Linked DNA regions of Ovis aries. The protein of the gene in region 7 interacts with the protein of the main gene of each other region in a biochemical or structural test. Links are inferred from orthologs where the notes say so. Each region holds a gene or a part of one and is shown on either strand. Other genes may lie near its edges.

Region 1 (3,500 bases), on a different chromosome or scaffold from region 7:
ACCATTTTAGCCAGTTTTTAAAACAGTGAAATCTTTAAAAATGGTATCTTACTGAGCGCTATGAAGCAGAAGAGAGAACTTTGGCTGAAGAGAGCATTGGACGGCTAGAAAACAAACAGGTTCACCTGTCCCGTGCCCCCACAGCCCCTGAGAGATCCACTTAACTGAGTACTGTACTGGTTGGATTTCCCAAAGACAGGCCCCCAGTAATAGGGTTTTTGACACATTTTGAAATGGAAGCATTCATTGTTGATTTCTGTTAAATGTATATAACCTGCCTATGTAAATACTTCTTTGATTCTGTTCTGAATTGCATCTTGTTATGTTTTTCCTTTTAACAGGCACAGATGTCCAGTTCTTCCTGTCCTGTGAACTCTCCTATAATGCCTCCCGGGTCTCAAGGGAGCCACATTCACTGTCCCCCTCTCCCTCAACCAGCTCTGCATCAGAACTCACCCTCCCCCGTACCTAGTCGCACCCCCACCCCTCACCACACTCCCCCTAGCATAGGGGCTCAGCAGCCACCAGCAACAGCAATCCCAGCCCCTGTTCCTACGCCTCCAGCCATGCCACCTGGCCCACAGTCCCAGGTTCTCCATCCGCCTCCAAGACAGACGCCTACGCCGCCGCCAACACAGCTTCCTCCCCAAGTGCAGCCTTCGCTTCCTGCTGCTCCCTCAGTCGACCAGGCGCAGCAGCAGCAGCCTCTGTCCCAGCAAAGCACAGCAGCCTCTGTGCCCACCCCGACCGCACCCCTGCTGCCTCCGCAGCCGGCAACTCCAGTAAGCAGAGTCTGGGCTTTCGGCAGAACCATGTCAGCCGTACTGTAGTTTTATACTACTTCAGTGCGGTTTCTTTTTTCCTTTCGTGGGAGGTGGCTGGGGGTGGTGAGCTTGCAGGACCTTAGTTCCCTGAGCAGGCGTCCACCCTGGCCCCATGGCAGTGAGAGCGCTGAGTCCCTATCACTGGACCTCGGGGGAACGTCCCTGTGCCATGCCTGTTCTCTGCCATTCTTCTCTCACTGTCGCCGCCTCAGACTGGAACCTCTTATGTTTACGGACTTTTGCTGTCACACCTCACATAGAAGGACCTCAAAGATTTTCTTTAGATCTTACGTTGACTGCGGTCACGTTGTATTCAGAGGCTTGAAAGCATGTAAGGGGAGAAGAGCGACCAGACGTTTAATACTACATGTGAATTTTACAGATACTTAAAGAATCTTTTCAAACAGCCTGAACTGCTGTTCTCGAGCAAATGAACAAAATCATTGATTTATGAATGTCTATGGTCCTAGCCAAAGTTAGAAAATTCATGAGAAGGTGTTTCATAAGGCCTGAAACACTCCTTGCAAAAGATTTGTTACCTGGGTAGCAGAGATCCAGATGTCCACCAGTTACATCCTTATTAACAGAACTCTGCGTGCCGCTGTTGAAACTTCCTGCATGATCACTGATAGTTCTCTGTCCTGTTGGCAAACTGAGAAGTGCTGGGAGTCATTGCTCCTTCTTAATACATTGTTCATGTGTGACTGGTTCATCTTAGCCTCTGATACGTAAGAAAAGGTAGGATGCAAAAAGGCATCTGTATCCTACATAGGATAGATTCTGAAAATACTGACTTCCCGTTAAGAAGTATGTTATTGGAAGACTTAGGAAGAATGGAGGTTGTTAGTTATCCATTAGAATGTGATGACTCAAAACAGCTGCTCATTGTGGGAATTTATTATATTCTCCCAACTTGTATATGTGAAACTTTTCCTAAGGAGAAGTTAAAACTAAAAGATTGTCCGTCAGTCCTTCTTATTTTCTTTCCATTTTTTTGTAAACATGAGCTCCTCTGAGGCAGCCCTTTCTGAAGCCTCCCTCCCAGGTGCTGTCCCAGAATGTTACTGGAGAAACAGTTGCTGGCTCTTGTGTCTACAACAAGCCGGCCAATATTTGTTAGTCCTCAGTCTCCTTGTCTTAAGCAAAATTTACTTCGGGGGGCCAACTAGGCAGAGTAAGTGAAAGCACCATGCGTGCACATGCGTGCTAGATCACTGCAGCCGTGTCTGACTCTTCTGCGACCCTATGGACAGTAGCCCACCAGGCCCCCCTGTCCACGGGGATTCTCCAGGCGAGAATACTGGAGTGGGTTGCTCTGCGCTCCTCCTCAAGGGCATCTTCCCGACCCAGGGATCGAATATGTTTCCTGCATCTCCTGCATTGCAGGCGAGTGTTTTACTAGCCCCAAAACACCATAAATGGGTGTAATGACACTAGCTTAGAAATAGGTGGTTATTCTGCCATCTTGTCATATAGCCTAAATTCTGGTTTTATAATAGACGGACTTTTTTTTTTCTTCTCTGCCCCGCCCTTTTCTACCCAGCTTTCCCAGCCAGCTGTCAGCATCGAAGGGCAGGTGTCAAACCCTCCATCCACTAGTAGCACAGAAGTGAGTTCTCAGGCCGCCCCTGAGAAGCATCCGTCACAGGAAGTAAGACCGGAGCCGAAAATGGAAGTGGAGGCGCCAGAACCAGCAGACACTCAGCCGGAGGGTATGCCAGAGGTGAGAGGAGGGCAGTCGCTGCCTTTTGGGGTTAGGAACATGTTACAGGAAAGGACTCTGATACTTAGGTCTCATTTTACTGATTTCCATATGAGAAAGGGTCTTGAGCTCCATCCACAGGGGAGAGTAAATAAGACATTGATGGTACTGCTACTCAGTTACATGTCTTTGGAATACCAAAAATTCCTACCATGCCTTCTAGCCTAAAGCAGAAGACTGTAAAGTAGAACCTACAGAAAGCGAAGAGCGAGGCACTGAATTAAAAACTGAGACGAAAGAGGAAGAAGACCAGCCAAGTACTTCAGCGACCCAGTCATCTCCAGCCCCGGGACAGTCGAAGAAGAAGAGTAAGTTTCTTAGGCTCTGGGTTCATGGAGGCAGAGGGAAAACTAAAGACTTCAGTAGAGTGAGATTGGGCTTCTTGGGCCTTGGAATTGAACTTTATGTGATTTCATTAAGCCTGGTGCCCTGGGCCTGGTCTTCATTACTACTAATGTTGGAGAAGGAGTTTTCTTTCCTTTAAGTGTATTTGTTTCCAGCAGTCACTGGGTGGCAAACAACTTCTCAGAATTCTTTCAGAGGACAAAAATTATTAAATAATACTCTGGATCAAAATGCAGGAAATAACAGCAGTAATAATATTCTTTGTTTTCTTTGTTAACTGCTGTGCACCAGGCACTGTACCACAAGCTGCCTTGTCTCATCTGAGAACCTCACAGCCCCTCTGTGAGGTCCCTGAGCCCTGTTTCACAGGCGGGAAAACTGAGGCTCAGCAAGGTCCAGTAACTTAACCCAGCTCACTTAGTCCAGGCAGGCTGAACCATGCTACTGAATGGTAATGAGGCAAGCAAGCAAGCATGCTTAAGCAGAGAGTGTTTAACAGGTCCCACGGAAGTTAATTTACTAGCTAGTTTAGGACTAGAACTTCTTATGGCTCTAGTGACCCCTTCAGT
Region 2 (3,500 bases), on a different chromosome or scaffold from region 7:
GCCATTAAATCATTAACCAACATGATAGACATTGAAATAGCATCAAAGCTCATAATATTTATTTTTGAACATGCAGTGTTTCTTTGCTGAGGTATTGCATTTTGGAAATCAGGACCACATATTTATAGGATAGCAATGATAAAAATGTTTATCCTCTGTTCCAGTAAGCCTGCTGATATTTATTTTTAATTTGATAAAACCAGTCGATGACATGACAAACCTAGACAGCATATTAAAAAAGCAGAGACACTGCTTTCGTGACAAAGGTCCATCTAGTCAAAGCTGTGGTTTTTCCTGTAGTCATGTACAGATGGGACAGTTGGTCCATAAAGAAGGCTGAGCCTTGGACTGCAGGGAGATTAGACCAGTCAGTCATAACGGAGATCAGCCCTGAATATTTATTGAAAGGACTGTTGCTGAAGCTGTAACTCCAATACTTTGGCCACCTGATGCGAAGAGCCAGCTCATTGGAAAAGACCTGGTGCTGGGGAAGATTGAAGGCAGAGGAGATGGGAGCGGCAGAGGATGAGATAGACAGCATCAGCAACTCAATGGACATCAGTTTGAGCCAACTCTGGGAGATAGTGGAGGACAGAGGAGCCTGGCGTGCCGTAGTCCATGGGGTTGCCAAGAGTCGGACGCAACTTAGCAGCTGACCAGCAGCAACAAACAGGTGGCACCTCTTCTGACGCCATCTGTGACTGCTTGTCAGCACAGGCTAAAGACAGTTACATGCTGCGCTGGATGTAGGCATGCAGGAGTGGTTAACCATCGTTTTTCAGGCCAGTGTTGTGTATTGTTAATCACTGATATTCAGTATGTGTGAATTATAGGCCTGCTCTTTTCGGTCTCTCCGTTCATGATAGGATTCGTGGTAGCTAAAAGGCCAGATGGGTTGAACGGGAAGCCTTGAGTATTTATGCCGCTGCCTTTTTATGATTGTAACATAGAATTCCTTGAGGTTGGGTTCACATGGGTAGCTCTTCACAGACGTTACTTAGTAGCATCAGCAGCAGGTGATTTTATGGATTAGTGGCACCAGGACAAGGCTGTCCTACCTCTGTGGGCAGTCAAAAATTGTATGAACAAATCTGTATGATTTTGGGTGAGAAATCAGTGATGGGAAAACTGGTAATGATTACTTTGGTCCTTCAGAGTTGAACATTTGCCTATTTGAAAAGTCAAATGACATGTGATTGGGTTGACATAGAATGGCCTATTGCTGATACAGAATATCTATATAAAGCTTACTGTGATTTTAAAATGAGAATTTTAAAAGCTAGTAATTTAGTATACAAGTGAATATAAATGCTAACTTATGATTCTCTCTTTATTTAACCATAAAAGTTCTTACATGAGCTTTGAGATGCCATTCCAAATCGCTTTTACACCCCTTGATTGAAAGTATCTAGCTAATCATATTTTCTAGCAAATAAAACATTACTAACTTCTAATAACTACTGTATGTATTTGTAAATTAAAAATGCCCTCAAGCTAGTTTCTCAAATCTGTCTGTTTATGATGAATCTGTGCAGTGGTAACAGTTACAGTTTGAGGAAAATGAACAATTAGCATGAACTGTTTTATGAGAGATCTCATTCATAACGTGTGGACTGCAAAGTATTTGTTTATATCATAGCAGTCATTTTTTGTATTTTTATTTTTGAAGGACTTAAAGCCCAGTAATATAGTAGTAAAATCAGACTGCACTTTGAAGATTCTTGACTTTGGACTGGCCAGGACTGCAGGAACTAGTTTTATGATGACACCTTACGTAGTGACTCGCTACTACAGAGCACCTGAGGTCATCCTAGGCATGGGCTACAAAGAAAACGGTCAGCAAACACTATTTACTTGAAATTCTGTTCAGATTTATTTGCTTTTGTTTATCAGATTTCTTATGTAAATACTTAAATTGAAATGCATAAAGAAAATTATCGCTGTTTGAAGTGTTTATCAAGAGTTTGGAAGTAACTACAAATTTTGTCATAAATGTTTGGAAAAACGTGGGGCCCCTGTTTATTTAAATACAAATACATAACCATCAGTACAACCGTTGGATAAAGAATTTGTTACCATGGCCCCTGTAAGAATACATGTCTAGAATACATAGCATTTTCTTGCCTGTAATGTGAAAATGAGCACTCTAACATGGGCACAGGGAGTATACAGTGGACCCGTCTCAGCACCCGCCATGTCTCTAGTGGTGATCTTGGTTCACATTAGTGGTATTTGCACACGTTTCCTGTCCTGTGACATTAAAGTTAGTAGCAGTAGCACTTAGTGCAGACTTTAAGAGCTACAATAAGGCTGTTCTGTAGAGCTGATGGATAATTAATTTAAGGTGACCTTTCAGAGGAAATGGTGTTTCATCAAAGCCCTTGTGTCCAGCCTTAAAGAAATGGCGTTATGTGCGAATATAGCCAGTTACATAAATTATCACTAGAATTAGGTTGAAGAAAATGCTCAGGCATGTAGTTCATGAATTTTAAAAAAATGTTATACATACACATATTTATACCTAAGAAAGGTATAAATTTGCTGAATCTCAGTCATTTGGAAGATGGATAAGTCTACACATGATTTTATTGACTTTAACTTTTAAAATGAGATAATTAAAAATACTTCATAAAGTAGGACCTAGACATTTTTCCTAGCAAAAGACTCTGAAACAGCAGTTCACTCTGAATCAGGAAACTGTATCAAATCAGTTTTGAGGATTCTTTTTTTCTAAAAAAGATAACTTTGAAGTAAGGATTTTAGCTTAATATTCTTATCTGAGCCAGTTAAAAACACTTTAAACATTTATTATCAGTATTATTCTTTTGTTCTTAAATAAACACGCTGTTCTGTTGTCTTACTCTTGACCTAAAATTGTCTTATACCCTGTAAAATCCAGTGAGTTAGATTTAGTATTATACTTTTTTTTTTTTTTGGAGAATTGCTATTTTAAGTGACAGCATGATCATTGTTTTTTAAAGTATTTGCTGTAAAACCACTGATTGTCATAAATAATGTGCAGTGTGTCACTTTGTCTTGGAATTGTGATCTTAGGCGCTCCCTAGTAGAAATTAGCACCAAGAAAAACTATCATGCAAAGAGTTGACATACTTTCCTTTCTTAGATAAGAATTCTATAGACTCACTTTATTGTGTTCCTTCAGTCTCCAGGAAACTGAGTCAAATATAGTGCTTAATGTTGGTAACTACATCGGCCAGCAAGGTTAAGCATAAGAACTTCCACCTTTTAGTGACGCCTCTCACCCATCCTACACCTGTTTTAATGACTTGTTTTATATATATGTCTTTTATTGCAAGCTACCCTCAAAGCTTTTTGGAAAGTGAGATAATGGGATATATTTAAACTGCCAAATAGCCTGAGCAGTTAGACCTGTAGAGCTCTTTTTATGTTTGAATCAGGCTTTTCATATTCTGAGGACAGTCTTCATTTGCCCAGACAGTGCTTGCAATAGCCTCTCATGCTTGTAGCTTTAGAAATGT
Region 3 (3,500 bases), about 230 Mb from region 7:
TGACCTGAAATCATTTCAACTAATTTAAGAGGTACATTAAATAACCACCAGATCATTTTGAGCACACATATGTTAAAATCAGCAGTTAGTATTTATGAGTTGTACAACAACTGCCTTGTGACCAAATCCTCCAATAAAAATAGTGCCATAAAATTTACAGTGACATTGGATATGTTTGAATTGTAGCCATGGGCAGTGACATGAATCTTTTCCTGTCACGCTGATGCACCAGCAAAAGTGCACACACCCTACAGGGTAGGGTCTCGGTTGGTGAGAGCAATACAAAGCTGGGTGGGGAAGGAGCAGCATGGGATGGGTCCTGCACGGGTGGGATGACACCCTCCCCACACGACTTCACTGAGGCAGGTGGAGGGAATTGGGCTTGTTCGGGCCTGCTTCTGGGCCCACCCTATGAAAACTGACCTGGACACCTCGGCTGTCAAAGGCATCCGGTCCCTTCCACTCCCAGCCTTGGGGGACAGCCACAAGCTTTCTTCTGCATCAACCAACAGGTATAGTATCAAGAGGAATATCTCCTTGGAGCTAAACAAACATCTGAACTCTGGGTTCAGATGATCTGCTTCCTACCCCAGAATGGAGCAATTAAGGAACCCCTAAATTCATTCATTCGGTGTCCATGTGGATACCATTCCTCCACACAGCTTACTTTGCAATCATTCTGTTACAAAGCATGTCTAACATTATTAAGAGGCCATGGAGTGAGCAAACCCCCTAGGCAGAAAATAAATCCTCTCCAGAGGTGCAATCATTGGCATCTACCCCAACCCTCTGGAACCAGATTTGAAGGGAGGGAGTCAGGTATGAGACCCTTTGTTGAGCTTAGCAGAAAATTCCATACTTCAGATCTTTGGAGTGACCCTCAGTATCTAAAAAGCCTAATAAAAACATGGCTGCATTAGCTACTGACTCGTTGAATTAACATTAAAGGGAGTTTAATGTAAACAATATTTAGATAACCAAGTGATCACATTACCCATCTTTTTTTTTTTTTCCAACCTTCTTCAATGTGATACAATTAACTCTGGCTACTATCAAAAACAAAAAATGTAGTACTTGATATTTTTCTTAATATAAGCACATTTAAATAATAAAAAAGTATCAACACATTAAGTAAGTGTCTAAACATCAAGATACATAAATATCTAGGGATTCCTTGTGGGAATACAGTAGTTGAAAATGACCCAAAGCTGCAGCTGTTTCTTAAAAAAACAACTACACCAAAAGTCCAAAAGAAAAGTTAAATAAAACTTACAGAAAAAGGAATCATATTTCTTTCGTCAAAGCAAGAAAGAAGCAAAGCTCAAATTTATATATATATAAAAATAAAAAAACCACCCCAAATGCAAATACACATTTTGCAATTTATAAGGTGCTGGAAAAGAAAATTAAAAATATGAATTAGATGCCAAACAGAATGAGTTGCATCTCTGCCCGCCCCGCCCTTCCCCCCCACTCCCCAAAAAAACCCCAAGTTCCATACTCTTTGGAATAAACGACTTGGTTAAAAAGTGAAGTCAAAGTTATAAAATCTTTCTTTTATTCACAGCATTGCTAAATCAGAAGCATTCACAGTTTCCCTCCGGGAATCTTCCTGTTTGCCTTAACGAAGTGCCCACAGGGCGGTGAACCGGACACCCTCAAGTTGCGTCAGGTTAGAAGAAAAAAATCTGAGACGGGCCCACAGCGGCGGCGAACTGCGCGGACTTCAGAAGCGAGAGATGGCGACCACAGGCAGTTGGCAGGTGGCGAGCATCCCCCGCGGGGCCGGCGCGGGCTTCTCCACCACGCGACGCTGGGCACCGACGGGCGCCTCCGGGACGACGTCCGGCCGCACGGAGCGCGCGTGCGCAGCCTCACTCAGTAGGGCCGCCACACGGCCTCCTCGAGGCGCGCGGCGGGCGCCATGTTGGTGGGGGAGTTGCTGTGGCTGCCCTCAGCCTCCACTACGTCGCTCTGGTTCGGGAGGCTGGGATTGAGCAGCGCCGAGCCGGTGGACGCGTTGGTGCAGGGCGGCAGGATGCGTGGTGGCGAGCGCTCGCCGCCCACCATGGAGAACTGGTAGGAGCCGGCCGACGCGCCGTAGTATAGGTGGTAGGATGGCGAGCTGGCCTGGAACGGGCCGCCCTGTGCCTGCGACGAGCCGGGGTAGGGCGGGGGCAGGTACGTGTGGTAGCGCGTGGCCGAGCTCATGGCCGACATGCCGATGCCGATGCCCGACGTGACGGGAGTTGGGGAGTAGGTGAAAGCTCCAGGGTAGTGCATGCGGGGGTCGGAGATGGAGGGCAGCGCAGGGAACTGGCGCGGGTCGCCGAAGGCCGTCAGGTCGGGCGCAGCTGTGTGGTGGGTGAGAAATATCGTGAGATTAGGGTTCAGGGAGGCCACGCCCTTTCCCTCTCCCAACCGGCGCCCAGGAGAATTTCCCACAAAGCTGCTGCCATCCAGGGAGCAGTGCCCAGGAGAATTTCCCACAAAGCTGCTGCCATCCAGGGAGCAGTGCCCAGGAGAATTTCCCACAAAGCTGCTGCCGTCCAGGGAGCAGGTATGATGAAGATGGCCATATATGAGTGAGTGAGTGAGTCGCTCAGTCGTGTCCGACTCTTTGCAACCCCATGGACTGCAGCCCTCCAGGCTCCTCTGACCATGGAATTCTTCAGGCAAGAACACCGGAGTGGGCTGCCGTTACCTTCTCCAAGGTAATATATGATCTCATGCAATGTAATAAGGTTGTAATATAATGTAATATGTAGTCATACTTGCTTAATATAAACATATCAGATATAACTGATTTCATATAAACAAATATTGCTGTAACTCTGAGGTTGCACACCCACCTGCCAGATTCACCTGCTACCAGTTTTTGTATGCCCACAGTCTTAAGGATGTGTTTTACTTTTCTAAATGGTTGGGGGTGGGGGGTGGAAATCAAAAGACTTTTTCCTGACTTGAAAATGATATGAAATTTAAATTTCAGTGTTCATAAATAAAGTTTTATTGAAAGGACTCTCGCTTGTTCTTTTAAGTATTAACTATGACTACTTTTTAAGTCACCACTTCAGAGTGGTCATGGCAGAGACTGGAGGGCCAGACTGTAGGACTCAGAAAGTCTGCAGTATTTAGTATCTGGCCCTTTGCAGAAAAAAGTTTGTCACCTCTCTATATAATCAACATATTAATATGTCAGTATTAATGTCTTATTATAACAATATATGACAAAACAGTGGCTTCCCTGGTGGCTCAGATCTGCCTGCAATGCCGGTGACCCGGGTTCGATCCCTGGGTTGGGAAGATCTCCTGGAGAAGGAAATGGCAACCCACTCCAGCACTCTTGCCTGGAGAATCCCATGGACGCAGGAGCCTGGTAGGCTACAGTCCATGGGGTCGCAAAGAGTCGGACACGACTGAGTGACTTCACTTCATTTCACTTCACTTCACTTCACTTCATGACAAAACAGTATAACACTAGAAGAACTATTAATATA
Region 4 (4,018 bases), on a different chromosome or scaffold from region 7:
GGATAGAGGAGACTGGCAGGCTACAGTCCATGGGGTTGCAAAGATTCAGACACGATTGAGCAACTAACATACTGTAAAATGAAAAAACAAACAAACAAACAAAAAACCATTAAGTAATCCAAGATGGTGACAGTCAGCACATCACTGTGGCAGGGCCTTTCAAAGGTCGAGGCCCCACCGTCACCCACCCTGTGCAATGTGCGACGCATGCCCTGGTGGGAGAAGAGCAGAATTCATCCCCAAGCACCCTTCCCACCTCCCCACCCAGCCAAAACTACAACACAGGCAACAACAGGGAACAACTATCAAAACTAAAGCCGATGGTGCCCAACCTAGATGGCAGCGGCGCTGGGAGCATCACTGCTTTATATAAAGCTGATTTTACAGTGAAGGAACGGATTCTGAGGACTGGGGGGTAGAAGCTTCAGACACCAAGAATAAGGGTAAGGGACAGAGACTGCATCAGCCCTTCCTCTTTTTAAAAAATGTAGACAATGAAGGCCTTCTCTTTCAAAAGAGAACTTAGTCTGAGTTTAGCAACTTAGTCTGGTGCCTTGGGAGCTGCGGTGAAATGCGTGGGCTTTGGTATCAGGGTGTGTCAGTGTCAAAAGAAGTAAAGACAGGTTAGATATATTTCCGTGGATTGGGTTCCCACCCTCTTTGGCAACGAACCCAAGGGTTCCTGGAAGGACCTGGGATGTAAGTGGGTTTCCAAGGACCCTCTGTTTTCATTTTTCCTCCGAAAGTAAGACCCACGGAGAAACGCAGGGCTTGGCATTCTTGAGTTTAGCACAGGCCACCTCACGGGTAGAAGTGCGTCGTCCTCGGACACTTGGATGATGTGGCAAGGACTGTGGGGGCCGTGAAGCTCCTGGTCCCAGGCAGCGGGTTGTAGGAAGGGCGCCCAGTCCCGTCCGTCCGCAGTCGGGCAGCCGGGACAGCGAAGAGAGCGGGGTCCGGGAGGGAGGGAGGGAAGGGTCGAACCATGCTCGCGGAGGCGGCCCCACGCCCTGCCGCTTATCCTGCCCGGGCCAGGGGAGGCTCAGGCCCAGGGAGCCTCGGGCGCAGGGGACGGCCACCGGGCACACTGCGGCCAGCGCGGCCGCGGCTCTTGCGGCTCCGGCGCCCGCCGGGTGGTGGCTCCGCAGTGCCCGCCCCTCGCTCCCCTACCCCGCCCCTCGCGCCCCCTTCCCCGCCCCCGCCCGGCGCCCCGGCCTCGCAGACCCGCCGCCCCGTCCCTCCGCGCGCGCCGCAGCTGCTGCTCCTCCGCGCGGCGGCGCCTCCCCCGCGCGCCGCCCGCGCTGCCGGCGGCGCAGCCCTCCCGCCTCGGCCATTTTCTCTCCACCCCCTCCCCTCCCGATCCTCATCCCCTCGCCCTTCCCCCCGCGCGGGGACTTTTCCGGAAAGTTTTTATTTTCCGCTTCGACTCTTGAAGAAAGAAGCTCCCGGCTCGGCGGCAGCAAAACTTTTCAGCCGCCGGGCCCCGCGGCCCTCGGTGCGCCCGGCCGAGCGATGAGCGCCCCTCCGGTCCTGCGGCCGCCCAGCCCGCTGCTGCCCGTGGCGGCGGCAGCAGCCGCGGCGGCGGCCGCGCTGGTCCCGGGGTCCGGGCCGGGGCCCGCGCCGTTCCTGAATCCCGTCGCGGCCCCGGCCGGGGGCATCTCCTTCCATCTGCAGATCGGCTTGAGCCGCGAGCCGGTGCTGCTGCTGCAGGACTCGTCCGGGGACTACAGCCTGGCGCACGTCCGCGAGATGGCTTGCTCTATCGTCGACCAGAAGGTAAGGCGCCGCGCGACTCTGAGCCCGGCGCCTCCCGGCCGCGCTGGGGGCACTGCCCTCCGGCCGCCCCTCGCTGCGCCAACTTTCCGGCTCCGGGGGCTCGGCCGGCAGCCAGCCTAGCCGGCGCTCTGGAAGGGTCCGACACCGGCCGAGGTTGGACGCCCGCATCCGAGGCTCTGCACTTCGTGTTGTTCTGTTCCCCCCTTGCCCCAACCTCTTCCTATTCCCGATTTCTCTCCAGTCCGCATCCTTCTCCCCCAGTTCCATCCCTTTCAGGACATTTCCAGGTATCTTCTATTTTCTGGTCGCACCTCTCTCCCTCTCAGTAAAGACTTCTCGGCTCTCCCCTCTCTTCGCTCTGGACCCTGGACCAGCACATTCCTGGCGCCGAAATCCTCCTTCCTGCACTAGAGTTTCCCTGGGGACACGCTCAGCACGATTTCAGCACCACTCCCTTCCCCTTCAGGCCCCTCTCCCAGCTCAGATTGATGCTGAGGAGTTCCTGGAATGATCTAGAGAGGAGGAATTTCTCACCTGTCAAATAAGCTTTTAAGAGAGAATGATTGACTCGGCCAGCTGTGAAAACAAATGACCAGACCACAGCTCCCCACCTCTTGTGTTCTATTCCCAACTCTGTGAACATGGGCGCAATTTTTTCAATGATAAATCTGAAAGTTGCAGCCTTCTGGATTTTGATTTCCAGGGCACTGATAGTGGAGCTTTGAAGCCAGGACACAGGCATGTGAATGGGAGGGGTCCTGTCCAGGAGCACCCCAGGCTGGCTGTGCCCCTAAGTTTGAGGCTGTGGGACTTTGGACAGCGGCCACCAAAGGCAGGGTGGAAAAGGGGCCATTATCCTGGACCATGCCGCCCAGGGAGGAGACGTGGCCCGCCTGTCGCTGTTTATAGTGCGATTTTGAATTTCAGGTTGTTTCTGTGGCGGTCCAGAGGGGAGTTGCATGGAAGGGGGTGATAAGAGTGTAAAGGAAAGGGGGCCGTGGCGCCAGTCTTCTTAGTGTAAACAGCAAGGATTTCTGGGTGGAGACAGAGGTCTCTAAAGGTGCTGAATTTCAACCCTGAAGGACTGACTGGTACTTGCTCTATAAAGATCCCTTGACTAATCATGAAAGCTTTCTTTAAACTGTTTGGAACAGAATTTGCTAAACCTGTGTGGTGAATTGTAGCACTGAGCACAGAAATATTAGGAAAAATCCCTAGGGAGAAATCACTAGTCTAAAAGTTGTAAAAGTTCTGGAGGCCAGACTAAGTTAACAGTGAGTGTCAGGATTTTTGTTTATTGAACGGAGTGACATTTTATAATACGTGTGACTCTTAGTTTTTTGCATCTTCCACGTAAATGGCAGATACTGTCTAATTCTGTTTTAAGTCATATCATATGCCCTCTCCTCATCAATACTGTTGGAGAAGGCAATGGCAGCCCTTCCAGTACTCTTGCCTGGAGAATCCCAGGGACTGCGGAGCCTGGTGGGCTGCCCTCTGTGGGGTCGTACAGAGTCGGACACGACTGAAGCAACTTGGCAGCAGCAGCATCAATACTGTGAAGTGTCTGTTGCAGGTTAACAGGAGCGTTCTCCTGGGCACTGAAAGCCTTCCCTTAATGGAAGTTGCAGTCTACAACAATTTCCATTGGAGTGCAAGCCAGTTAATTAAAGGACAATACTGAATAAGCACATAAAGAACCTAAGATAAAGTTTCTTAAAGAGCTAATGTGATTGTATAGAATTTTAGCTGAAAGTAAGTGAGTTACAGATAATATTCATTGGGTCAAATTAATATGGACAGACTATCTTTGAACAGTTTTAAAGGGCGTGCCTGTGCACACACGCACGCACACACACACACACATATAGCCACACCTTGATGGAATTTAGAATGAGGAGAAATATGCATGTTTCAAGAGGTTTGAGACTAGAAATTGAATGAAGAGTGAATTCTTATCTCTGTAACTACCAAGAGGAATGCCTTGTGGAGGGGATGATATGTGTTCAGGAGAGCAGCAGAAAGCACCTGTGGAATACAGAGGACCTGAGGATAGTGACTAGAATATTTAGAGAAAGTAAAATTATGAAAAGGCTTGTCAATTAAGATGAACTCAAATTACTAGGAATCTCTGTATCTTCTACATAGAGAAATCAAGGACAGCTGAAAGATGGATTTGCTTTGTGGAATATGTTTTAGAAGGCCAAAAATGTTATGGCAGAAGGAAAACTGAAGCTCATGA
Region 5 (3,500 bases), on a different chromosome or scaffold from region 7:
CTGATACAATGCATCCTTTACGATGAGACTATATTCTCAGTCCTTCAGCTTTTCTGAGATGCCATTATTGCTGCTATCTTTCCTGTTTTATGTAGGTGGTAGCCCTCGGAGAGGTACCAGATGGGACTGTGGTTACTGTCATGGCGGGTAACGATGAAAATTATTCTGCTGAGCTCCGAAATGCCTCTGCTGTTATGAAAAACCAAGTAGCAAGGTTCAACGATCTGAGATTTGTCGGCCGGAGTGGAAGAGGTAGGTCTCTGATTTTTCATATGGATAATGGAATAAACACTTTAGGATCCTCTGATGAAATGTAGGCTAAGTCTGTATACAAATCAGCACCTTCTACTGAATAGAATTACTGAAAGTTTTCTTTAAATACGTCCAGATGAGGTTGAGTGTTTTAGTGAGTACTCAGGCCTTTTTCATTTGTTTTATGATATTGAAAATTCAAACAATGTTTTCAGAAGGACCAGTTCCTAATTTCACTGGGTGTGAGCATATGAGGTGGAAGGAAGAACAGTTGGAGGTTCAAGTTCTGAGTTATGAGGAGCCAAATAACTGAGTACATTCAGTGGCAAAGGGCAAAGAAAAGGGAGTGCATTGGATCAATTTCCTGGTAATATCAATTTTGCTCTAAGTTGTAGCAAGGACAGCTAGCATAATGCTCTTCACTTGTCACATATGTTACCTCTGTAGGATTTAATTTACTCCTATAGGAACTTATTTAAAAATCATAGGCTTTTATAGAAGGCTTTTCATTTGAATAAGTGAATAATGTATTACTTATGTTAGAATGACTATGTGGAATTGCCTAGACAGATGAATGATTGGGACTCTAAATATTTCCACATTATTTAAGAGTTTCCACCATCCATACCCCCCATTCAGATATTAGGAATCTTTAAAAAGATCATAAAAGAGAAAATAATCCCTTTTAGGGTTTTTGTAGCTGTTTCATAAATGCAGTTAATATATTTTTTTAAAAGTCTCAAAGAAAACCAGTATTTTGGCTTTTATTTACTTATTCTATGGCAAGACTTTTAATCATCATTCATTGGAAGTTTTATGTTCATTTACTGATTGATTGAATCTGACATTTCCATTTTAAGTATTTTGATGAGAAGAGGGAAAATAGACCACTTTAGGACTGGAGTGAAATGAATTATAAATAAATTATAAAGACCTGTGGAATGACTTTAACCCAGGTTTGTGTTAGGAAATGAGAAGCATCAATTTTTAAACCATGTCCAATAATTGCCCTTTAGTTTGGATCAGATGTCAAATTATTACCATTGTAAAAACTTGATAAGGGAAATTCATGCAAGACTGTTTCCGGTGAGTAGTTTTAGTTTACTTTCTAGGAACAGTGCCAAGAAGTTGTACTTTTTAACTTAAAAAAAAAAAATGATGCATGCTAATGAGATACTGTCACTGAAGATTTGAAATAAAATGAGAGCCTCTGGTAGAATCAAAACTCAAGGGGTTATCTTTGCATCAGGTTTAGTTCACTTTCATTAAAAGGAAAAAAAAGATACATCTTAGTCTCACTCTTGACTGATTAGGTGTAAAGTATGTATGTGTGTTTATTCATTTTTCCCCTCGGTTACTGTGCAGGCCTACTGTACAATTCAAATTTCTTTTTTTCTTGTAAGAAGAGAAATTTGAACATGATGTATCTTCTGAACCTATATCTATCTTCTGAAGGCATCTTTCTTCTAATGTAACATTACTTTGTTGAATTTTAGTGTTTAAAAGACCAGGCGCTATACATCATTTTACAGATACAAACTAGAGTTTTCATTTATCTTGCTTTTGTATGATATAGATGCTGCATAACTTTTCTCTGATCAGTTTGAGTAGAAACTATGGCAAAGTGATAGTGTACTTTGTAAACCCTCAACATATTTATTTAAGAAACTTCAAAGGGAAACAAAGGGTGTGCACTGTTTTACTATATTGGCTTTCTGAGTTTTGGCTGGTTTCCCAAATAGCAATTTTTATATTAAAAAAAAAAAAAAAGACAGACTTAACTGCTTGCAGACTTTTCACGCATGGAAGATGAAGAAAGCTTCTTTTGATGAAGTGTAATTATGTCCAAACAGAGCTGACCCCCTCCCCCTATATTTCTTATGATCTTAACTGAAGAAAGTAGGATTTTTCCTTTGAAGCAGCCGGGACTTGGTGGAGGATCTGAAATGCCACAGTCTGCTGCCAGAGGCAGGATGGAGAAATTGGTCCAGACTTGTCTTCGAGACTTAGATTGGGGGTGGGGGGAGCGAGTGGAGAGAGAAAGAAAAATTGATGTATCACTAATAATAGATTTTTAAATCAGGACATTAATATTATATGAAAGGACACAGTAATATCAAGCTGAAATGAAGAGGGGAAAAAGGACAGAGAATATTGATGAGATACTACCCTTTGAAAAGAAAAAATGGGTCAGTTCTTCAGTGGCAGGAAATCCTTTAACCTGCCTGTGTACCTGACCTGCTTCTAACAGTCCCTTTCCAGCTTCCTCTTTGATTTTCACACTTCTTTATTTCTCTCAAGTTTTAAAGTCTGGGTCAACAAGATGCTGCCATTGTATTCGCTGCCCAGCTATTTACATTTTCTATTTTCGGTAGCATTAAAAAATGAAAAACCAGCAAGTTCCTCAAATGCTACATTTTTTCATGGGTAGAAAGATACACTCTCAGGAATTAGAAAAACTGTTTTCGATTTATAAAGCAGTAACATGGCTACTTACTCTGGCATCATGGGTTATCCGAGGACCACAGCTTTTCGAAGTGCTTTGGAATACGAGTAGAGCATCCGTGAAACTTGCATTCAGTGCAGAGTGGCTTACGTTTTTAAATTGTCTTTTCACTTTTTCTCTGTTATATTTTAAGCCAAGTATGGAAAGTGACTTCGGTCTTTAAGTTTTCTTGGTGTGCTTCCTCACTTTTGATGTCAAGCGAGTTGCTTTTAATTTACAAGCACTTCTAAACACCGGTAGTGTGCAGAGCATGGTACTTTGTCAATTCTGGATACAATCTGTGCTTATAGTCTTAACTTTCCCCACTATTTCTGACAGCCCCTCGGGCTAGGTTAGAATTGTCTTTCAATGACAGGTCCTATGTGTATCTCAGAAAATATATGACTTGAGGACATAATGCAAAACTAGTCCCTAGATGAAGCTAAGGATGCTACAATGAGTTGTCTAACGATTGCTAGCTCCCTAAGTAAGAGCTGCATTTTTTATCACTTATGGAGAGTAGTAAACAATGGGATTTGGATTTTTTTTTTAATTTAAAGGAGGAAATCATGAATACTCATGTAAACATTTGACTTCAGAAATGTATCACTGTTTATAGGGACGAGAGCAAATGACCCAGTTGGGTGATAGTTTCTGGAACCATTAGGTTCACGTTCCTTCTGAAGGGGCAATAAGAAGTGGGAGGAACCGCCTTGTCTTTTGTTTTAGTTGTTAAAGTACATCTTGATTCTTAGGATTTGAT
Region 6 (3,986 bases), on a different chromosome or scaffold from region 7:
CTTATATTTTCAGAATGCCTTCTAGTTTCTTCTTATAATATTGTACTTTCAATTTTTGTTTGTTTTACTTTTATTCCATATCTTTTAGTGCCTTAAATGCTTTCTATGCAGCCACTGTCTTCTTAGATAATTCCAAGAAAAAACGAAAAGAAATCATGCTGATTTCCTCTCAAACTGACACCACATCTCTACCAAGGGAAGTTGTCTTTAAAGATGCATCAAAACTGTGACGAAGATCTGGACAATTCTTGTTGGTTTCTTGTGCAACTTTGGCTCAGGGAGGACTGAAAGGGAGGTTTAAGAATGATAGTTTCCACACTACTAGTAAAAGACTAGTTATTTTTTAGCCATAGTAACAAGTAACCGTTGGAGCTGGTGACAGAATCAACAACAATTGACCTGAGTGAACATACTTCTGTGGGCCAACCAAGCAGAGTAAGAGCGTCTAACTTCTGAAAGTCAGCCAGACTCACTACAATGAATTTGCTTGGACAATCAAACTGAGCAACAGTGTGACTCAAGTAGTCTTGCTTCCGCACTTAATGTCAACTCACTTCTGCTTCTGGAAATCTGCCCATCTCTAAACTGTGCTTCCTGAAAGTCCGCAATGTCAGTGGTCTCTTCTGTGCATAGGCAGAATAGCGCTCTGTAAGCAATACATTTAGCTTTGAGGTTTCGTTGCAGATTTTGCATAGAGCTATCATCCTTTGTCTATTACCATCGTATCTCCTGAATCTCATTTGCCGCTTAAACGCAGATAGCCTAGCAGTTATGAACTTGGGCTCTAGGCTGATTCTGCTGCATTCTGGCTGTGTGATCCTGAGTAATTTGCCCTGATTTTTTCATTTGTAAAATCAGGAGACTTATAGCATCTACTTTACAGGATTGCATTAAATATATGAATCACTTTAAGTGCTTTATAAATATTAGTTAGTATTACTATTTCTTGCTCTTATAAATACCAAGCGTAAAGTAAAAGTTAAAAGGAAGTGAAGGGTATCACTGCTGCTGCTGCTACTAAGTTGCTTCAGTTGTGTCCGACTCTGTGCAACCCCAGGGACAGCAGCCCACCAGGCTCCCCCGTGCCTGGGATTCTCCAGGCAAGAACACTGGAGTGAAAAAAAAAAAAAAAAAAAAAGAACACTGGAGTGGGTTGCCATTTCCTTCTCCAATGCATGAAAGTGAAAAGTGAAAGTGAAGTCGCTCAGCCGTGTCCAACTCTTCTCGACCCCATGGACTGCAGCCCACCAGGCTCCTCCGTCCATGCATTTTCCAGGCAAGAGTACTGGTGTGGGGTGCCGTCACCTTCTCTGAAAGGTATCACTCCCTTACAATTCAAGGCTTTGCTTGTACTTTCCAACATCAATATTTTTAAAGTATAAGCTTAATACTTTTAAAGCTTGGAGGAGTTGTGCTTGTGTTTATGTGTTTGTGCATGTGATATATGTGATACAGACATACATATGCCTCTGTCAATTTTGAAACTATTCTCATTGTTTGAAGAAGAGCTCATATTCAGACTTCATTCATAAGGGAACAAACATCTGTTTAATATAGGGCATACAGCCACAGTAGTATTGTTAATAAACATGTAGATGTTTCTTGTTAAGGACTAGCATATTGAGTTCTATATTTTAATTATTTTACCAAGAATATTACATACATTGTATTATTTTATACATTTATTAAATCATTTAACAAAATTTTATTATGTGTCTGTTTTGTGCCAGGCAGTGTTCTTGAGACTAGAAATAAAATGATGAACTGTGGTACTGAATAAATTCCACTCATCTAGGTTTCCTTTTGAAAACAGAAATGTCATGGGTATAATTAAATGATTTATTATTACTTATCTTGATATGTGTTTATATTTATGCTTATATTAAAGTTGTTGTTTATTTGCTAAGTCGTGTCCAGCTCTTTGCAACCCCATGGACTGTAGCCTGCCAGACTCCTCTGTCCATGGGATTTCCCAGGCAAGAATATTGGAGAATATAGAATATTGGAGTTTGCCATTTTCTTCTCCCGGGGATCTTCCCCATCCAGGGAGCGAGCCTACATCTCCTATGTCTCCCGCAGGCAGATTCTTTACCCACAGAGCCATTACAAAACTAAAACCAGTAGGAGTGTTGTTTTGTTACATGAATTCTGTTGCCGTTGTTGGAATGACTTGTTATACAGTGACACCGGAAGCACAGAGAAAGCCTGGCAAATGTTTGTGAGATTAAGTTGGTGGTCAGGATTTCCAGGGGGAGCAAGTCACAGACACCATGTTTCCTGCTCTTTTAATCCAATTTCCCATAAAGACCAATGAATAAAGTTCACCTCGTATATCATTTGGCAAATAACTGAATTGGCTCTGTGATAATCTGCTTGATTCTTCTTGTGTCTATGTTTTAATCTGTAGTGTTTAGTGTTAATATTTGTTAGTTATTAATTTTAGGGTTGTATGGAAAAGTTAATACTATATGAGGGCTTCCCAGGTGGTGCTAGTGGAAAAGAAGCCACCTGCCAATGCAGGAGACGCAACAGATGCGGGCTCAATCCCTGGGTCAGGAAGATCCTCTGGAGGAGGGCACAGCAACCGACTCCAGTGTTCTTGCCTAGAGAATTCCATATACAGAGGAACTTGGCAGGCTACAGTCCATGGGGTCGCAAAGAGTCAGGTATAAATACTCATATATATTTTTATATCTTGGTCATAGCTATAATGTGTATACACATTAACTGACAAAAGTAAGTACTCTACAATGCCCTGTGGGAGTGGTGGCATGTTTTATAGGAATTGTGTGTATATTCTGCAAACACACTTTTTTTTTTCTGAACTGTATGAGGTAAACTACAAGTTATATTATACACTATGGCTCTTTTAATATTGTGAATTTTCTGACATGATTACAGAAGTTATACAGTTCACAAATTTACATTGATAATCTACCATTTGTTTAGTAATTTCATTAGTGTTTGATCTTAAACTTTTCTCGCATATTTATGTGTATATACTTTAAATAATCTTTAAATAAAAGAACTTTCTCATTATGTTAAGTAACTGCCTTAAACATTAGTTATGTTCAAGTAGTATACTGTATTTTGTGTAAATAAGAACCAACTAGATTCAGTTTAAAAAAACAACTGGTTTTAGGAGGCATTTGGCTATGTGCTCAGTCGTGTCAGCTCTTTGTGACCCTGTGGACTGCAGCCCACCAGGTTCTTCTGTCTGTGGAATTTTCCAGATGAGAAATACTGGAGTGGGTTGCCATTTCCTTCTCCAGGGGATCATCCCAACCCAGGAATCAAACCCACATCTCTTGCATCTCTTGCATGCAGACAGATTCTTTACCACCTGTGCCGCTGGTGGAGTCTGATATTATGAGAGCCCTAAAAAATAACTCAGAAAACACTAATTGGAGAAGAAGGTTCAGTTTACCCTTTTCATGTCCACATGAACTCTGTGGCTGTTTTTTCCTTTTACTTTTCTTCTACCATATGAGGATAGTAAAAATAATAGCTTCCAAACAAGGTGACCAAGGTTTTCCCTTCCCTTCCTTTCCTCTGTGGAAGAGATTGAATGGAACCACAGTGACTGCCAGCTGCCTGGAGACAGGTGCTCAGGGACTCATTCTGGCCCTGAACCTTGAGAACAAATGTCAGGAAATGCTTTTTTTAATGTCAAGATTCTGGTTGTATGGATAAGAGTAAGTATTGCGTGATATGGTAAAGGCTTGCACCTACGTAGTCGTTCATTGTGAAAGGAAACCCTAATTTATTGTTTAATGTTTAATACAAGGCGTTTTAATCAGTACATTTTGGTAATAATACCCAGGAGCAGAAAATCATTGGCAAAATTAAGTTGAAACAGGCCAGATATGATCTTTTTTCTTGTTCAAGTAAAATGCAATTTAGTCCGTTTGAGCTTGAGGGATATCTTCCCTGTCGACTGCTGTCCCCTCAAAGCCAGCCAAACAAGTCCAACTTAACCTACTCCC
Region 7 (3,982 bases):
CTGCTAGTAAGAAGCACCCACAGTGATTTTAATTGACACTCAACTCTTTCAACTCCACCTAGACAAGTAATCTATAGATAATGCAGAAAAGAGGTTGGGGGAGGGGTAACTTTTTCAATATTTTATTGTATTTTCTTAAATATCCTTTCTGGAATTTTCAGAAACAAAACATAAAAAAAATTATATACTTTATTACAAATGGTAAACTCAGAGTGCTCCAAATCTCTTATTTACAAACAAGGCTGGGCAGGACACCCAAACAAACAAACATGAATAACTTACAAAGGCATGAAGCTGTTTATTGACAGTAATCAGCTTTCATCAAATTAAAAAATATATATATGTACATACACAGTTATGGAAGGCAGGCCAGAAAGAGCTCATCTGCAGGCTGGGCCTCGCTCTCACAAACCTCCCTCCCGCCTCCCCTCCCCCACCCCCTTTGTGTTCTTAAGGAGTACTACAGAAGCGATCTACAGTCTCTATTGCAGTTTGCAACCCCCTCCCCCACCCCACCCCTTTAATACTGAATGAGATCGAATGTTAGGTCCATGCAGTTCTTGGTCAACGTTAAAGAAAAGTCTAACGTTCTGTTTGCGCGGGGACAGCCCGTCCGCAAACCCGGGCAGCCCGCGAGCGGCCGTTCCCTGGCTCCTCGCCAAGGGAGGGCGCGCCAAGTCCTTCCCACTCGTGCACACTGGGGGCGCCGTCAGGACGCAACCCAGTCCAACTTGGATACCCTTGGCTTTAGTCCTCGGACACTTTTGTTTTTTTCTCTGTTTCTCTCTCGCAACTTGTCAAGTTCTCAAATCTGTCTCTCTGTGTTATTTATATTTTTTCTCCGTTGCCCCTCAGCCCCCGACAGTCTCGCCTCAAAACGTTTGCAACTGCTGCGTTAGCATGAGTTGGCACCCGCTGTTAACGTGGTTCATGACTTTTTGTTTAAGCTGGGCCACCTGTTCCCTGAGCATATTGGCGGTGGACGCCAGCTCCGAGTTCTGCGCTTTCAAGGTTTTCACTTTTTCCTCCAGCCGCGCGATCCTCTCCAGCTTCCTTTTCCGGCACTTGGAAGCAGCGATGCGGTTCCTCATGCGCTTCCTCTCCGCCTTGATCCGCTCCTGGGACTCCATGTCGATGGGGGACAGGGGCGGCGTTTCCCCGGGCATCTCGGGCACCGTCTGCGGCTCTTCCTTCAGGGCCTGCAGCCGCGGGTGCTGCACGGGTATCTGCTGGGGCAGGTGGTGCGGCGGCTGCGGTGGTTGCTGCTGCTGCTGCTGGGGCTGCGCGGGAAAGGCCAGGCCAGCCGCGCCGTAGGAGGGCGCCCCGCCGCCGCTGCTCAGCGCGCCGGGGTTGAAGTTGCTGAGGTTGGCGTAGACCGGCGGCTCGCTGTGCAGGCTGGCGCTGAAGCCGCCGCTGCCGCTGCCGCCCGCCACCGAGGCCACCGCCGGGGCCACCAGGCCCGCCCCGCTGACCGGCTGCGCCGCCGACGTGACGCTGGGCAGCGTGTTCTGGCTGTGCAGTTCGGCCAGGGCGCGCACGAAGCCCTCGGCGAATCCCTCCTGCTCGTCCGTCACGTTCTTGGGGCACAGGAACTGGGTGGGGGTCGGCGTGGTGGTGATATGCCCGTTGCTGGACTGTATGATCAGGCGCTCCAGCTCGGGCGACGCCAGCTTGAGCAGCCCAACGTCGGGCGAGGTGAGGAGGTCGGAGTTCTTGGCCCGGAGGTGCGGCTTCAGGCTGCCCACCGGGTCGGCCAGATTCAGGGTCATGCTCTGCTTCAGAATCTTGGGGTTACTGTAGCCGTAGGCGCCGCTCTCAGACTGGAGGAACGAGGCGTTGAGGGCATCGTCGTAGAAGGTCGTTTCCATCTTTGCAGTCATAGAACAGTCCGTCACTTCGCGTGGGCTTAGTTTAAGCTGCGCGCAGAAGTTTCGGGGCCGCAACAGCGCGCTGGCAAGCGGGGGACACCCGCGCCTCCCCGGGCAGTGAGCAAGGAAAGTTTCTGGAAGAGCGCGCGCCCCCGCCGGCTGGCAGCCCCCGCCCCCGGCGCCCTCCTCACCAGCTCGGTCCGGGGGATCGCAGGGTTAAGACGCCGCCCGCGCTCTTACTTGTCCGCTCGCGCGCGCCGCCCGGCTTTGAAAAGTCGCGGTCACTCACGGAGCTCTCTCGAGCGCAGCGGTTCCTCAGAGCCCGCGGACGAACTCGCTTCCCGGTGATAGCAGGGAGCGCGGACCCCGCGTTTGCCTGCCGGCGGCGGGTGTCCGCCGCCCCGACTCGGAAGACTGTCCCCTCCTCCGCTGAGAGGGGGAGGGGGCGCCCGGCAGCCGCGGCTCGCGCTCGCCCAAGTTCAGCAACCGGTGCGAGCGAAGCGGAGCGCACGTCCTCCTCTCTCCGCCGCCTCTTTTTCTTCACCGCCGCCGCGGCAGCTTCGGGCGGAGGCAAGATTTGCAAAAGTTCGTTCCGGGACCCGGCGGCCACTTGTCTCCTGTCTTCCTGGCCGGGAAAGTTCTTGCCGCTGCAGCCGCTCTCCGGACTTCCCCGGGCGGACAGTGGCCGCTCTCCGCGCTGTCAGCAGCGCCCGCGCAGCGGGGCTCTCCGCCTGGGGGCGGCTGGCGAAGGGGCTCTCCCGGCGCTCCCCAAAACACCAGGCCGGGAGCCACAAGCGCTAGCTCCGGGCAGTTGGAGAGAAATTGGAAAATAGGATTTGCTGTCCTTCTCGACTGACTGTGCCTGTCTGCCTGCCTGCGTCCGCGCACCTCCACTCCCGCCTCGCAGCTTCAGCCACACTCAGTGCAACTCTGAGCCCTTATCCAGCCGGAGCGCAACACTTATCTGCTACCAGTCAACCCCTAAAAATAGCCCATGATGTCACCCCAAGGCCTTCCCATTGGCTCGCGTCGCTCTCAGGGGGGCGGGCCCACCCGTCGCCATGGAGACCCCACCCTAGAAGATTCTTCTCTGGGCCCGCGGAGGCTCACGGGATGAGGTAATGCTCCGTTGCCCTCCTACAGTTGGGCCCTTCTTTCTCCTCCTCCCCCCAACCCGCTCCGCGCGACTCGCGCCCCTCTCTTCCCCCTCCCTCCCCGACGCGTCTTTCCCGGCCCGCCCGGTGCATTGTGGGCTGACGTCTTGGGGTTTGACTGTCTAGTGACGGTGGCTGCCGCGAGCCGGGCGGACTCCGGCGCTCCCAGCCTCTGAGGGAAGTGGGCTGAAGTTTAGGGCTCGGATGGGAATGCCAGGGATGCTAGGACCCAGGAGGCCAGGGGAACCGAGCCAGGTGTCTGGGGCCGAGGGCGCGGGGCGGGTGGTATTTCCCCACTTGGGGGTTCGATGTCACCCGCGGGCACTTCGCCGCCGCTCGGGGCGGGCCGGGCCCGTTGAGCGCCTGGGTTCCTGGCCCCCCCGCACTTCCGGGGGGCGGGAGCACCGCCCTTAAGGTGGCTCTGTTAAGTCCCCTGTGGGGGCGAGTGAAAGTGGCTTTTAAATTTGGGGGCAGTTCGTGAGAGTCGGCCCCCCACGTTGAGAATGCCCTGAAGTTTGTCTCCTGGTCAAGTTCAGTAGCGACTGTCTGGCTCTGTCTGGAAGTCCAGTGATTTGCATTGCTTGAAACTGGGTGTTCGGCTAAGTCCCCTCCGCACTCCCACCTCACCCTCCCGACCGTGGGAGAAAGGGTGCGGGGGTTCGCATCTTTGCCTCGGAAAGGTTTCTTACAGGAGGTGGATTTAAGGGGCAACTCGGCGTCTAGTTTGAACGAGCGTTTGGAGAATCCGAAACTCGGGGAACCCCGGTGATAGTCTACTCTCCGCCCCCGCACAACATGCATAGACACACCGCACATCACATGTACACACAAACACACACACACGCACACGCCACTCCTCCCGCCCCGATTTGCTTCCGGGAAAACAAGTCCGAGAGCAGCAGACACTTGCCAAAAGTCACGCAGCGAGTGAGTAGAATAAAGATTTAAAATTTCTCCGCT

Evidence for each region.
Region 1: the proteins of JUN (region 7) and EP300 form a complex in vitro, tested with the Homo sapiens proteins (5 studies listed by BioGRID, with this or other methods). The link is inferred for Ovis aries from reciprocal best matches to the Homo sapiens genes JUN and EP300.
Region 2: of the proteins of JUN (region 7) and MAPK8, one has a biochemical effect on the other in vitro, tested with the Homo sapiens proteins (76 studies listed by BioGRID and IntAct, with this or other methods). The link is inferred for Ovis aries from reciprocal best matches to the Homo sapiens genes JUN and MAPK8.
Region 3: the proteins of JUN (region 7) and RUNX1 form a complex in vitro, tested with the Homo sapiens proteins (2 studies listed by BioGRID). The link is inferred for Ovis aries from reciprocal best matches to the Homo sapiens genes JUN and RUNX1.
Region 4: of the proteins of JUN (region 7) and PRKD1, one has a biochemical effect on the other in vitro, tested with the Homo sapiens proteins (2 studies listed by BioGRID). The link is inferred for Ovis aries from reciprocal best matches to the Homo sapiens genes JUN and PRKD1.
Region 5: the proteins of JUN (region 7) and RUNX2 form a complex in vitro, tested with the Homo sapiens proteins (2 studies listed by BioGRID). The link is inferred for Ovis aries from reciprocal best matches to the Homo sapiens genes JUN and RUNX2.
Region 6: of the proteins of JUN (region 7) and MAPK10, one has a biochemical effect on the other in vitro, tested with the Homo sapiens proteins (7 studies listed by BioGRID and IntAct, with this or other methods). The link is inferred for Ovis aries from reciprocal best matches to the Homo sapiens genes JUN and MAPK10.

Annotation. Positions count from the first base shown.
Region 1 is NC_056056.1:218,148,369-218,151,868, forward strand, and holds part of EP300 (histone acetyltransferase p300), read left to right. Parts: intron 1-341; coding exon 342-782; intron 783-2,367; coding exon 2,368-2,547; intron 2,548-2,749; coding exon 2,750-2,894; intron 2,895-3,500. UniProt on the Homo sapiens protein: Functions as a histone acetyltransferase and regulates transcription via chromatin remodeling. Acetylates all four core histones in nucleosomes. Histone acetylation gives an epigenetic tag for transcriptional activation.
Region 2 is NC_056078.1:41,775,433-41,778,932, forward strand, and holds part of MAPK8 (mitogen-activated protein kinase 8), read left to right. Parts: intron 1-1,669; coding exon 1,670-1,835; intron 1,836-3,500. UniProt on the Homo sapiens protein: Serine/threonine-protein kinase involved in various processes such as cell proliferation, differentiation, migration, transformation and programmed cell death.
Region 3 is NC_056054.1:267,608,461-267,611,960, forward strand, and holds part of RUNX1 (runt-related transcription factor 1), read right to left. Parts: intron 2,355-3,500; coding exon 1,879-2,354; 3' UTR 1-1,878.
Region 4 is NC_056071.1:38,245,489-38,249,506, reverse strand, and holds the start of PRKD1 (serine/threonine-protein kinase D1), read left to right. Parts: upstream 1-1,218; 5' UTR 1,219-1,512; coding exon 1,513-1,776; intron 1,777-4,018.
Region 5 is NC_056073.1:18,667,638-18,671,137, forward strand, and holds part of RUNX2 (runt-related transcription factor 2), read left to right. Parts: intron 1-95; coding exon 96-252; intron 253-3,500. UniProt on the Homo sapiens protein: Transcription factor involved in osteoblastic differentiation and skeletal morphogenesis. Essential for the maturation of osteoblasts and both intramembranous and endochondral ossification.
Region 6 is NC_056059.1:101,973,964-101,977,949, reverse strand, and holds the start of MAPK10 (mitogen-activated protein kinase 10), read left to right. Parts: upstream 1-1,186; 5' UTR 1,187-1,317; intron 1,318-3,986. UniProt on the Homo sapiens protein: Serine/threonine-protein kinase involved in various processes such as neuronal proliferation, differentiation, migration and programmed cell death.
Region 7 is NC_056054.1:33,493,864-33,497,845, forward strand, and holds JUN (transcription factor Jun), read right to left. Parts: upstream 2,801-3,982; 5' UTR 1,881-2,800; coding exon 873-1,880; 3' UTR 107-872; downstream 1-106. UniProt on the Homo sapiens protein: Transcription factor that recognizes and binds to the AP-1 consensus motif 5'-TGA[GC]TCA-3'.